Arabidopsis thaliana: one gene and its partner. The protein of the gene in region 2 interacts with the protein of the main gene of each other region in a pairwise test. Each region holds a gene or a part of one and is shown on either strand. Other genes may lie near its edges.

Evidence for each region. Proteins that work in one complex are often made in the same cells at the same time.
Region 1: the proteins of MBD1 (region 2) and HAT3.1 interact in a two-hybrid assay, tested with the Arabidopsis thaliana proteins (one large-scale study listed by BioGRID).

The regions. Positions count from the first base shown.
Region 1 is NC_003074.8:6,761,844-6,768,357, forward strand, and holds HAT3.1 (Homeodomain-like protein with RING/FYVE/PHD-type zinc finger domain-containing protein), read right to left. Parts: upstream 4,755-6,514; 5' UTR 4,686-4,754; intron 4,637-4,685; exon of another isoform or gene 4,447-4,636; intron 4,303-4,446; 5' UTR 4,207-4,302; coding exon 3,578-4,206; intron 3,457-3,577; coding exon 3,291-3,456; intron 3,184-3,290; coding exon 3,060-3,183; intron 2,969-3,059; coding exon 2,856-2,968; intron 2,773-2,855; coding exon 2,215-2,772; intron 2,131-2,214; coding exon 1,840-2,130; intron 1,744-1,839; coding exon 1,654-1,743; intron 1,563-1,653; coding exon 1,362-1,562; 3' UTR 918-1,361; downstream 1-917. Other genes in the region: AT3G19508 (complex 1 protein, LYR family protein), read right to left, coding at 535-588, 662-853; AT3G19515 (apoptosis inhibitor), read right to left, coding at 5,029-5,116, 5,209-5,330, 5,562-6,514. UniProt on the Arabidopsis thaliana protein: Binds only to large DNA fragments. Recognizes a DNA fragment carrying 8 copies of box7 motif of the light-induced cab-E promoter of Nicotiana plumbaginifolia. Also recognizes the box7m1 motif.
Region 2 is NC_003075.7:11,946,599-11,950,875, forward strand, and holds MBD1 (methyl-CPG-binding domain 1), read right to left. Parts: upstream 2,207-4,277; 5' UTR 2,044-2,206; intron 1,922-2,043; 5' UTR 1,917-1,921; coding exon 1,797-1,916; intron 1,318-1,796; coding exon 823-1,317; 3' UTR 612-822; downstream 1-611. Other genes in the region: AT4G22750 (DHHC-type zinc finger protein), read right to left, coding at 2,768-2,902, 3,037-3,099, 3,204-3,289, 3,387-3,516, 3,622-3,713, 3,801-4,014. UniProt on the Arabidopsis thaliana protein: Probable transcriptional regulator.

The DNA.
Region 1 (6,514 bases), on a different chromosome or scaffold from region 2:
CTTTTCTCTCTAGCTTCTACTTTTAACTCCAGAAGCAAAAACAATCTCAAAAAGACTTTGGTTTTGGTTAGGTTGGTTTCATATAAGATTTTCGAGTTTTCGACAAGGACCTAAACTCTTAGCTACTGTTTATTGTCCCTTAGCTACATATATATCACTTTAATTACCCAAACAATCCCTAATCTTTCTCTCTCGTTATTACTTAACTGCCACTTCTACTTTGCTCTGATGAGTTTCTTTCATTACCAAAGATGAGATTAAGTAATGTGATGTTTTCGAATCTAAGAATGTAACAATTTTATTCAGGATCATGGAAACAAACAAGAAGCTAGCTACTCAAACAAGACAACGACCAATTCAGCAGTCAATCACAGAAAGTCAAGACAACTAAAAAGGAAAGACAAAGACACATGAACAACCCCTGTTCTTGATATAGCTATCAAAAGTAGAAAACTGATGGTACCCATTTAACAAATCGTCCAAACTTGTTCCAACACTCTCAGGGACATAACGTCGAACACTTGGTGTGCGTTATTATTCAAAACAAATCTCTTTCAACTTCGTCGCTGCTGATTCGTCAATTGAGTACTGCAAATGATTGAGAACAGACAGTTAACACAAAGGGTACCTAGATTTAAAAGAAACCCAGAATCTTTGTTACCTTCTTGAGTACCCAAAGTGAGTGATTATAGGCTCGCTGGAAGAGTTCGTCGAGGGATGTTTCGCTTTGATCGACTTCACGGTAATTAACGAAATTCTCCCTGGCGTACTTGGCGTAATACGGCCTTGAATCCGCCGGCAAAAGTCTCACCAGCCTCATAACGCCGCCGTATACTCTCAGCACCTTCTTCATTTTCGTTTACCTTCTGCAACACGTTACCCAATTCTAGGACTCTAATACTGTATCATAAACATCCATGGGCTCTTAATGGGCCTTTAATAATAAGCAATTACAGACCGGTTAAACGTTCACATTTGAGGGTTTAAAACCGGTTCAAACAAGACTTTTAAAGTTTAAATCTCTTGATCTCTTAAACCGGTCTCTATCGATTACAGAAACCATAACTCAAAACATCTCTCCAGATGGAAATAAACAAAAACTTTCATAATCATAACACAAAGCCTTAACTTCTTTAACTGTTAAAAATGAACCTATCATCCAATTTCGAAGAAAATCTTTCTTTCTTTCTTTTGCCTCAAATTTCAAGGTCTTCAAAGTACCCCAAAAATGTGAAACAAAGAACTGAACAAACCCGATGCTTTGCAGGGTTTGGTGTCTTCATATCTCGGGGTTTGGGTAAGTATGTGTTCCAGTATTGTCCTTGCATTAGATCTAAAACCTTCATGATTGAATCTAAAGTCTACTTTCTTCTTCTTTTCCGTGATCCAGTATTGGTTGGTTTCTCTGCAACTGACTCGGTTTCCATAGTTTGTTTGCTACTTCCAGCAACAGATGTCTCACATTCACCTTCCTTGCCTGTTTTTAACTTCTCGACATTTTCCTCTGAAACTAAAGGTTTGCTGTTTATCGACCAACGCCTATGCTTAAACCAGTTATTAACCTACAGAACATAATCAGTTCTTAGCAGAGATGAAACTAGGTCGACTAAAAGGGAGAACTAAACAAACAATTTACTAGGAGAAACTTCTTACTTGCTTAACTGTCATTTGTAGCTCTTTGGCTAAGCTCTCCTTCGTGGCTTTGTCTGGATATTGATTCTCTTGAAAAGATATGTACAGTCTCTGCATAAAAGAGGGATCCTTTCAATCCATTGCTCCCTCCCTCATAATAATGTAAGATTGGCACCTTAAAGCCTCAAGACAGCTATATCTTTTTACCTGAGTTTTGGGATCTGTCTGTTTACATGCTGAAGAGCTGCTTTTTTCAATTTCACCAGAACCACCATTTTCTCCAGGACCTTCTTGTGGCATTTCTAAGGTATCCTTTTTATCTGCCCTTTTCGACTTCCGTATAAGTTTCTTAGAAGTATGATCTTCTGCATTTGAAGACTGTTTCAGAGGTACAGTGTCCCCTTCATCTTCCGACTCGGAATCTTCTTTTCCCATTCTTGCAGTTTTATCCCAATCGTCATCATCACTTGACGAAGTCGGAACATTGTCATATTCCTCCTGCACATAGAAGAAAAATACCATTCAGAGGTTTTTCCAAAGCCAGATAGAAATCGATTATCAAGAAAAAGAGAGATCACTCACATCATACAACTTTTTGTAATCCAGCCTTTCAACATTCCTCCTTCTGGATACACCGGCAGGACCATCATCAAGCCCAACATCTGACTCTAAAATTGCATCACCTTGGAGCTGAGACGTCTGTCTGCCAGGATCCTCAAGTGGTGTATCTTCAGCTTGCTGATTAGTCTCATCTCCTTTGAAGGAAGTTTCAAGATCTTCAGTGTCTGATGTACAATCAGAATTTGAACTTTCTTTATCATCATCACAAGTCGGGGCATCAGGATCATAGTCATCATCCTCAGAATCATCAGATGGAAGGGCCATTACATCTTTCATTATATCTTTCCCTTCTTTAAATGACTCAATCATTTCGTCAGATGCAGATGTGAATTCAGTTTCATCAGAACTACCATCTTCGTTCTCAGATTCTTCATTGTCATCACTGCCATCTTCATCATTTTCATTATCATTCAAACAATCTGGATCATACTCTTCATCATCAGAATCATCTGAAGGAAGATCACAGTCAAGATTTTGACCTCCACCAACCAGCGCTGCTGCTGCCTCAGGAAATATTTTCTACACAAAAGTTCAAGGCAGGTGTGTTTTTAAGTGTTTTCTCCTCTTTAACAATAAAAACCTCAACATATATAGTTATATACCTCCCAACTGTCGCTGACCGAAAATTTTGTCCCTAAAGAATCATTAAGCAAGTCCAAGCTGTCATCTTTGCAATCACATCCGGGGCATAGCCAACCCTCATCATCCGGAGGAACTACAAAAATTAAAACCAACAAAAAAGACAGCTGTAGATACCAGCAAGAACTGCTTAAAACACTACCAAGTACGTAGGCAGAGAATATTACTATCTTCTTTCCGCAGAGGTGGTTCAAGACAGTATTGGTGAAAGCCTCGATCGCAAAACCCATCGCATAGTATGATATCATTATCAACAGACAAGTCCTTTGAACCACATTTTGCACAGAAGATCTGCGATTAAACAACTGCTCGTATTATCAATACTTCTAGAGACACAAACTGGTTCTATCAGGATAAACAAGGGAACAAAGGTTGAGTTCAGAACAATATTCTCTTACATCCTCGCTAGAAATCTCTCCATCAGTATCAAATAAAGACTCTGGAAGGCTTCCTTCAGCACAGAGTGTGTCAAGGTGCTGAAAAAGATCTCTAATTTTAAGCTTGCGCCGCAAAATTTCCTTTGTGGCTCGTTCAAGCTCTTTCTCTGGCCTTATCTTTTCCAGGCTACAAAGAACACATAATCAACAAGACTGAGTGAGATCAGAAATATATCTCACAGAGGATACCTATAACTCTCAAATAATGCATGAATAAGAGGGAAAACAAATGTCATCAAGAGACAAACCTTGAACCTTTCCAGCCTTCTAACGAATAGGCGTCAATTAGGCTTTGCTCATAGTTAATCCGGTTTAGAAAGTATCGAAGTTTCTTTTTGATTCTTGTGTACTCATCATCTTCTCTAACTTGTCCTTTGTTCATAGTCTTATTCTTTTTCTTTGGTCGACCTACAGGTGTGGAATTAGCAACAACCGAAGATGGTCCAGCATCTTCCTTAGATCTCTGAGCTCTCTTGTGACTTGCAAACAACACATTCCTTTCTCCACCTCCTCCTAACCTCTTCGAACTCGTAGATGCCCTGGACCGGTTGTGGATTTCAAATTGTCCACGGCAAGGAAGACCGATGACAAGCTCACGATGAGACCCTGAAAATTTGGTATTGGTATTAGAATCCTTCTTCACGGTTTGAGGGGTTGGTTTCTGTTCTTCATTCCCCTTTCCATGATCCATAATCTCATGATGCAAATGTCCATTTCCGTTTGCATCAGTTGGCATGTGACTCCCTGCCTCTGATGATTTGCCTTGTTCAGATACTCTGTCAACAGTTGGACTAATCTCTCCTCCATTATCTACATTTGTCTGCTTCAAACCAGATCCACTACTTCTAGTTACCCGCTTACTTACTGCTTTATACATTCTCTACAATCAACTAGCTATGTTTATACTGCTATCCTCGAAGATGATGCACTCAGGCGTTTCTAAATCAGCAAAGGTTTAAATACTTGTAGATTCCTATATAATCAAACAAAGAAGCAAAACACACGTATATCAGATCAGAATCAATATGAGCAAACACAAGAGAAAAACCCACAAAAGAAAAATGGGAGCTTGGTAAATATTTCTGCGATTGCTTCGTCTAGTTCCTAAGCTACTTACGTGCTTGACAGAGATCTTAAACAAGAACATCAGACAAAAAACACAGATCGACCCTTGATATGGTTTTCGATGAGCACAAGAGAAGAAAAAACGCGATAAAGTAATCTTAGCTATAACGAGGTTAGATTTGGGTATTGCTAAGCTGAGTATTGAATTTTCTAAATTTCTACGAGATAAGAAAACAACCCAGACACTAAATGTTAAGCTTTTTCGATCTCTCTATCCGCCAAAAATTTTACCTTTTTCCCTCGCCCGCGAAATGTCCCGCGAGAATTGAGAAGAAACTCGGTGGGTGAGTTGAGAAGAAGAAGAAAAAAAGAAGAGAGAGCCTTGCAAGGTCGCTCAGAAGACAAAGGGAACGGAGAAACGGCGTAATTTGGGCTTCATTATGCATTATATTCTTAATGGGTCTACTTATGAGGCCCATTTGCATATCAATGTCTTGGTATTGTTGTTTTGTTTCTCTCTTTTTCGTCCCGTGACATGTTAAGGAGCCTTAAAAAGCCAACAAAAACTTGTACCTGGCTAATAGACAAAAGAAATACTCTTGTTTTACTAAAATAGGCCATGAAAGTGATTCCCTCAAATCCCATGTGCACAACCTGATGACTCTGTACGGGCCTTCTTTGTACCCACATCATTACCGGCTTCATTTGCAGGCCGTTTTCCTCTGTCGTAGCAAAAAGGAAACATACAACCATGAATCACAAGTCACAAACATTCAAAAGACTCACATTCAACTTTGGATCCAAATCAGCTTACCTTTCAACAATTTCTACAGGTTCGTGCATTCTTTCTTGAGGACCTTTCTCTCCAAATTTACTCAAACTTGTCAAACCTTCCGTAACCATCTTGATTTCTTCTCCACTTACATTGCCCAAGCTCTGGAATCATTGAAAAAATGTCAGAAAACGGCTAAAATAAGAAGAACACGATAATGGAAAGAACAATATCACACAACCAAGAAACTATTGTGCAGAATCAGGTATTTATCCTGTTGGAAAATATGAAAAAAATTGGCCCTGAGTCCCGATTCCGTTCAAATTCATGTGCCACACCAAAATAGTTGGTTTGAGTAAAACAGGAGATATACACAGGTATTCACGTCTCTGTACCTTGTCAGAATCAGGCATGATGTGCTCGTTCAAGGAGTTATGAAACTTGCTAGCACCAAAGTCAGGATATTGCATCTCTTCGGACTTCTCTTTCGGGTTATGTTCTGGATTCCCTTTCTGGTTATCTTCTGGATTCTCCTCTTCGCTTTCAGTTTCTTTCTCTCTCTCTCTTTCTTTCTCTTTCTCATTCTCATCTATATCTATGATGATGAATTCAGAGAGAAGATGCATCGGCTTAGAAGTAGCCCGAACATGTTCTTTTTTTTTAGGACTGGCACCCACAACCATGTATGTTGTCGCTAGAGAAACCCTAACATATCCTTCGTCACAAACTTTAGTACCATTGCTCATCTTACAGATGGCCACCACTTCTCCTTTATAGATCTCAATACTGGATACTATCACTGCATGATATGAGCGGAAACCTCTGGAATTTGTTCCGGGACCATAATAAATCTCCTCTCCTACGGTCCACAATTCCTTAAAAACAACTAAGTCCGCTCCTATGGGAAAATGTGGAAGCAATAGCAACGCCTCCTCCATTGATTCAATTTTTCGAACACTCTTTAATTTTGTCGTGTGCATATGTGGGTCGTCAGCATTTGGAGGCTGCCAGTCCTTACAGTCAAACTTCTTGCAGATCTCTCTAGGAATGCCATGCTGTTTGATGTATAGTAGGCAATCCTCTATATCATTTCCATAACAGTAATGCCCTTTCTCAGGATTTTCATCATCTTCTTTCTCAGGATTTTCATCTTCTCCAAGATACTCTGGTCGACAAAAGGAGCAAAGATACCATGGACACAGAGGAATATACTCTACCTCCCAGTTGCGCATAATTCTAGTAGCACTGACTAAGTCAGAGGCTGCATAAGCCCAACAAATGAGGTGAAAGAGTTGGTCTCTAATAAAACCTAGGAATTTCTTCCATGACTTGGACGTCACCAATTTTA
Region 2 (4,277 bases):
GTCTTCGAGGCAAATGTAAATCGCGAAAAAGGACCCCAAATACGACGAATAACAAGAAGAAAAAATCACATATAAGAATCAAAAATTGTAGCCATGTAATCTTCATCCTAAAGAGTCTAAATTTAGAACTTTGCATGCCCACAAAAGGTTAGCCTTTACATACCAAGTAAGACCACATGAGAAAACTGCTTATTCAACTAAACCAAGGAGTAAGGACGGTGGAAGGAGCAACCTAAACTTCTAATAAACGGTAGACTCCAGATACAAACAAAAACTAATGAAACATACACAAAACCTTGAGAAAGGACTAGCTTCAAGGGCTGGTCAGAAAACCCAAGAGCGGAAACATACATAAAGTTATGTTGTGAGTCTTCTTTTTGAAAATCCCAAATATGCAATCATTGTTTAAGGCTTCTTTTCATAAAGCTCTCAGTCCCAAGAGGTTATGACCAATACTCAATGTTGAATGGGATAAATAGCCCATAAGCGAGGACTTGCACACCGCACGCTATAGCAGAGGGTGCGCTTGGAGTAGAAGAAGTTGTACACATGCTGCTTGAATATACTTTGTCGTGTTTGTTTGTACACACTGAGTGAAAACCAGAGCGATTCATGTAGTTGTGACTTGTGACATAACAAAAAGAGAAGAAAAGATAATCCTTCATTAGAAAATAAAGATCCAATCAGAGTCAAAGAGATGAGTTTAAGAAACATTCTACAGTAAGAAGTCCGACACCCTTAAAAGACTAAACCAGATAGAAACCTAAAACTGACTCCAATAACAACTTCAACACCATAAGAAGCTGGGAAGCGCTATGTAGCTCAATCAATTGTAACTTTCCTTGATGGCTTGGGGGTCCTGTCAGATAATATCCCACTAGGAACCGTCTCTTCCATCACCTTTGGGACTGTGAAATTGAAATCTCCAAGCAGTGCATACTTGTAATCCTGATTGGCATCGATGAAGGCTGCGATTTCATTACGAGACTTGAGCTTCTTCCCAGTAGGAGTTATGTAGTACGCATCCATTTTCGAGTAATCCTTTCTCAGAATTAAGCTCCTTTTGAACCCTCTTGGTGTCCTCGGCAAGCCAGGCTTGTCGATGACCCATGTTCTGGAGGAATCATAGTTTAGATCTCCAACATCTTCACAGGACACACCTTCTTTCGTCTTGCAAAAAAACGGGTCCTCTTGTACTCTACTTCTGATATCTTCATACTCATCTTGAGTATCAATCTTCCTCCACTTCATGCACTTCTCACACTGCACAGCAAAGACATCTATCGACCTCCCTGGAGTACCGGCTTTTTTCTGCACCTGCACAATACAAATATGGAATCTCGGTGAAAAGAAGAACAGTCACTCACAAGCTACTTGGATCAACAGAATCATACTACAAATCGTTTAATATATAGCAAGATGAGAAAACATGCGTAGAGAAACACAAAAGTCAAAACAGGGACACCACCAAAAGAGTGATACTGAGAACATGCAGAATCAAAAACCAAATTTGAAGAAAAGGGTCACTGCGAAACCTTAAATAGCATAAATATTGATTAAATTTTATACATAACTGATCAGCCAAAGACACAACGAGAAATAAAGTTATAACCTTTATGTCTGCATCAGTTCGTCAAATAACACTAGTAACTAAGTCTTCGAAACTGGTTGAAAAAAAACCTTAAGATTCTCAACTAAAACCCTAATTAAGAGATAGAATTCAATGATAAGATCTGTGTGGTAAAGAGAGACCACAAAGCAAAATTGAAACCGGGTTTAGGTTTAGTGAGGTTTACCTTAATGGTTGTTGGTTCAGCTGATTTCTCAGTCTGCTCCTCAATCTTACTTCCAGATGAAGCAACTGATGAGTTTTCCGATCGAGACTTCTTCAAGTTCATTGCCGGAAATGGTAACATTAAACCTTCAATTTCAAGCCCTAAACGATCAGTATAACGAAGCGAGAGAAAACTCCAAAATTGCGAAATTCAAGTACGAAATCGAATCAAAGAGCAGATTCAAGGAGAGTGATCCAAAAGTTCATACCTCGAACAACGATTCAGATTTCCAAAAATCTCAGAGCTCTTTGTTAGAGAATTTGAGAATTTTTCTTTGAACCCTTTTTAATGCAATGTTTTTTTTTGGCCAGCAGAAGAAGAAAAAATCTTCTCCAACTGTATTTACAGATGTCGAGATATGATTGGTTCAATGCGACACGCAGACCATTTCTGTAATTTTTAATGGATTTTCTACTAAACAGGGCATAATAATTAATTAAATTTCCAAGTGTTTGTTAAATGGTTGACTCTGGATTTTAAATATGTACATATTTGGCCAAAATTATATAGACCAGAAATTTAGTTTTTAAAAAAAATTATTTTAGTAAAAGTATTACATTATAAAATAACAATAAAACAAAAAAGGACAAAAATAATTATTTTTGATTCGATCAAAAACATACAGAAAGTATGTGGTACGTCAAATCTTTGATAGTTACAGTACATCATTCACGTGTCGTGATTTTTTTATTTTTTATGATAAATAACATGTTATTATTATCAATAGTGAAAAAATGAAAATGGTATATTTAAGCAAATGTGAAAATGGTATATTTAAGAAGTTTGAGAAATTTCTTTTCACGAAATAAAAAGATACAAATTCCACAATAGGCACTAATCTTTATAATACACAAGACAATGTTTGATATAATATTTGATTGATACATACACAAAGCAGAAGACACACTTCCAAAAATTTCAAGTTTGTAAGGTCATAGAGACTGAAGCGGCTCTGTCTCGGACTCCGACCTGCTCGTAAAGTCTAACCCTCCAAGTGCTGGCAACTTCTTCTTATCGTCTTCCGTGTACAATGGCACGAACCAATACATTTTATCACTTCCAAAAACCTGATTCAACAAAGGAATAGAGACCAAACTTTTTAAAGCTTTCATTGTGTTCGATGTCAAAGATATTATCTAAGTAGCGGGGAAACGAATCAGTCACTGAAGAACGAGTGAAACAAAGAAGATGGAGAGCGAACCTGTTCAAAGTTTGTCTTACGACCAACGTTGTATGGCCAGTTCACTGTATGCTTCTCATACGCCTGAGATTAAAGAAACCATTAGTTTGGTCAGTGAGTTTATTGACATGGAGATTCCTGAGAGAACCCAAGTTAAGAGCAAAACCAAGTGAGAGTTGTTGCTTTACCTCAATAGTTGTGGTGTTACGAGCGACCAACATTATGTGCATTATTAGGAAGCCTAGGACACTTAGGGCAAATGCTATGTTCAATACTGGAAAGCAAGAGAGTGAAGTTTTTGAATCAGATGGTAACGTTAAGGTGTTCTGAAACAAAAACGGAAACTGAGATTTCTATATCTTTGAACTCACCAAATGCAACAAAGCTGGCTGCTAGGCTTCCTGGTGATACGGTTATATCACCATCTCCATCGCTGAAGAATACGAGGAAAATTGGCAATAGTGATACTGCAACCACCGTTGTCTCAAGAAATGTGTAAAACTGCATTTTTGAGATATTGGGAATGGATTATGATCATGGCAACATTAATGAACAGAACATATCAAAAACAACTTCGTTCAGCGATGCTATGATAAGTTGACATACCAAGAATAGGAGAAATGATTTGTAGTTATTTGCACCAACACAATTCACCACCCAAACACAGTGATGGTCCATCTTTAGTATGCATCTTCCACCTGAAAACCCAATATGACAACTTTTTCACTACTAAAAAACACATATACCGGATTCAAAGAAAAGAATCACTCATTGAAGAGACTTACAGACTGAACAATGGTGAGAACGAGGCGGTTTATATTGATTGCACTTTCTACAATATCTTACACCATGAGACGAGGAATCTCCAACCGAAGCTTCTCCAATCAAAGCTTGGTTTCCCTCGCTTTTCTCTATGTCTAATTCTGGCCTCCAACCCGTTGGAACACCACCAGGGTCCGTCACAACAACAGAGAAATAACTCCACAGTAGCATTATAAGCTGCAAACAAAACAACAATCATAAAAAAAATGAGTCCTTTGCTTCCTTACTCTTTCCTCTGTGAGTTCTACAATGCGAGGGAGTTCAAATGTTGATAATCTATTAAAACACACAAGAAACCAACAGCTTTAAAACTAAAAGAAACAAAGACACTCTACACTACAACCAAATCAAACCAAAAAAAAAAAGATGAATACTTGATTGCTTACTTAGCTTATACTATCCTAATTCACTATCTCATCTTGCTGTTACTTAAAATCCAA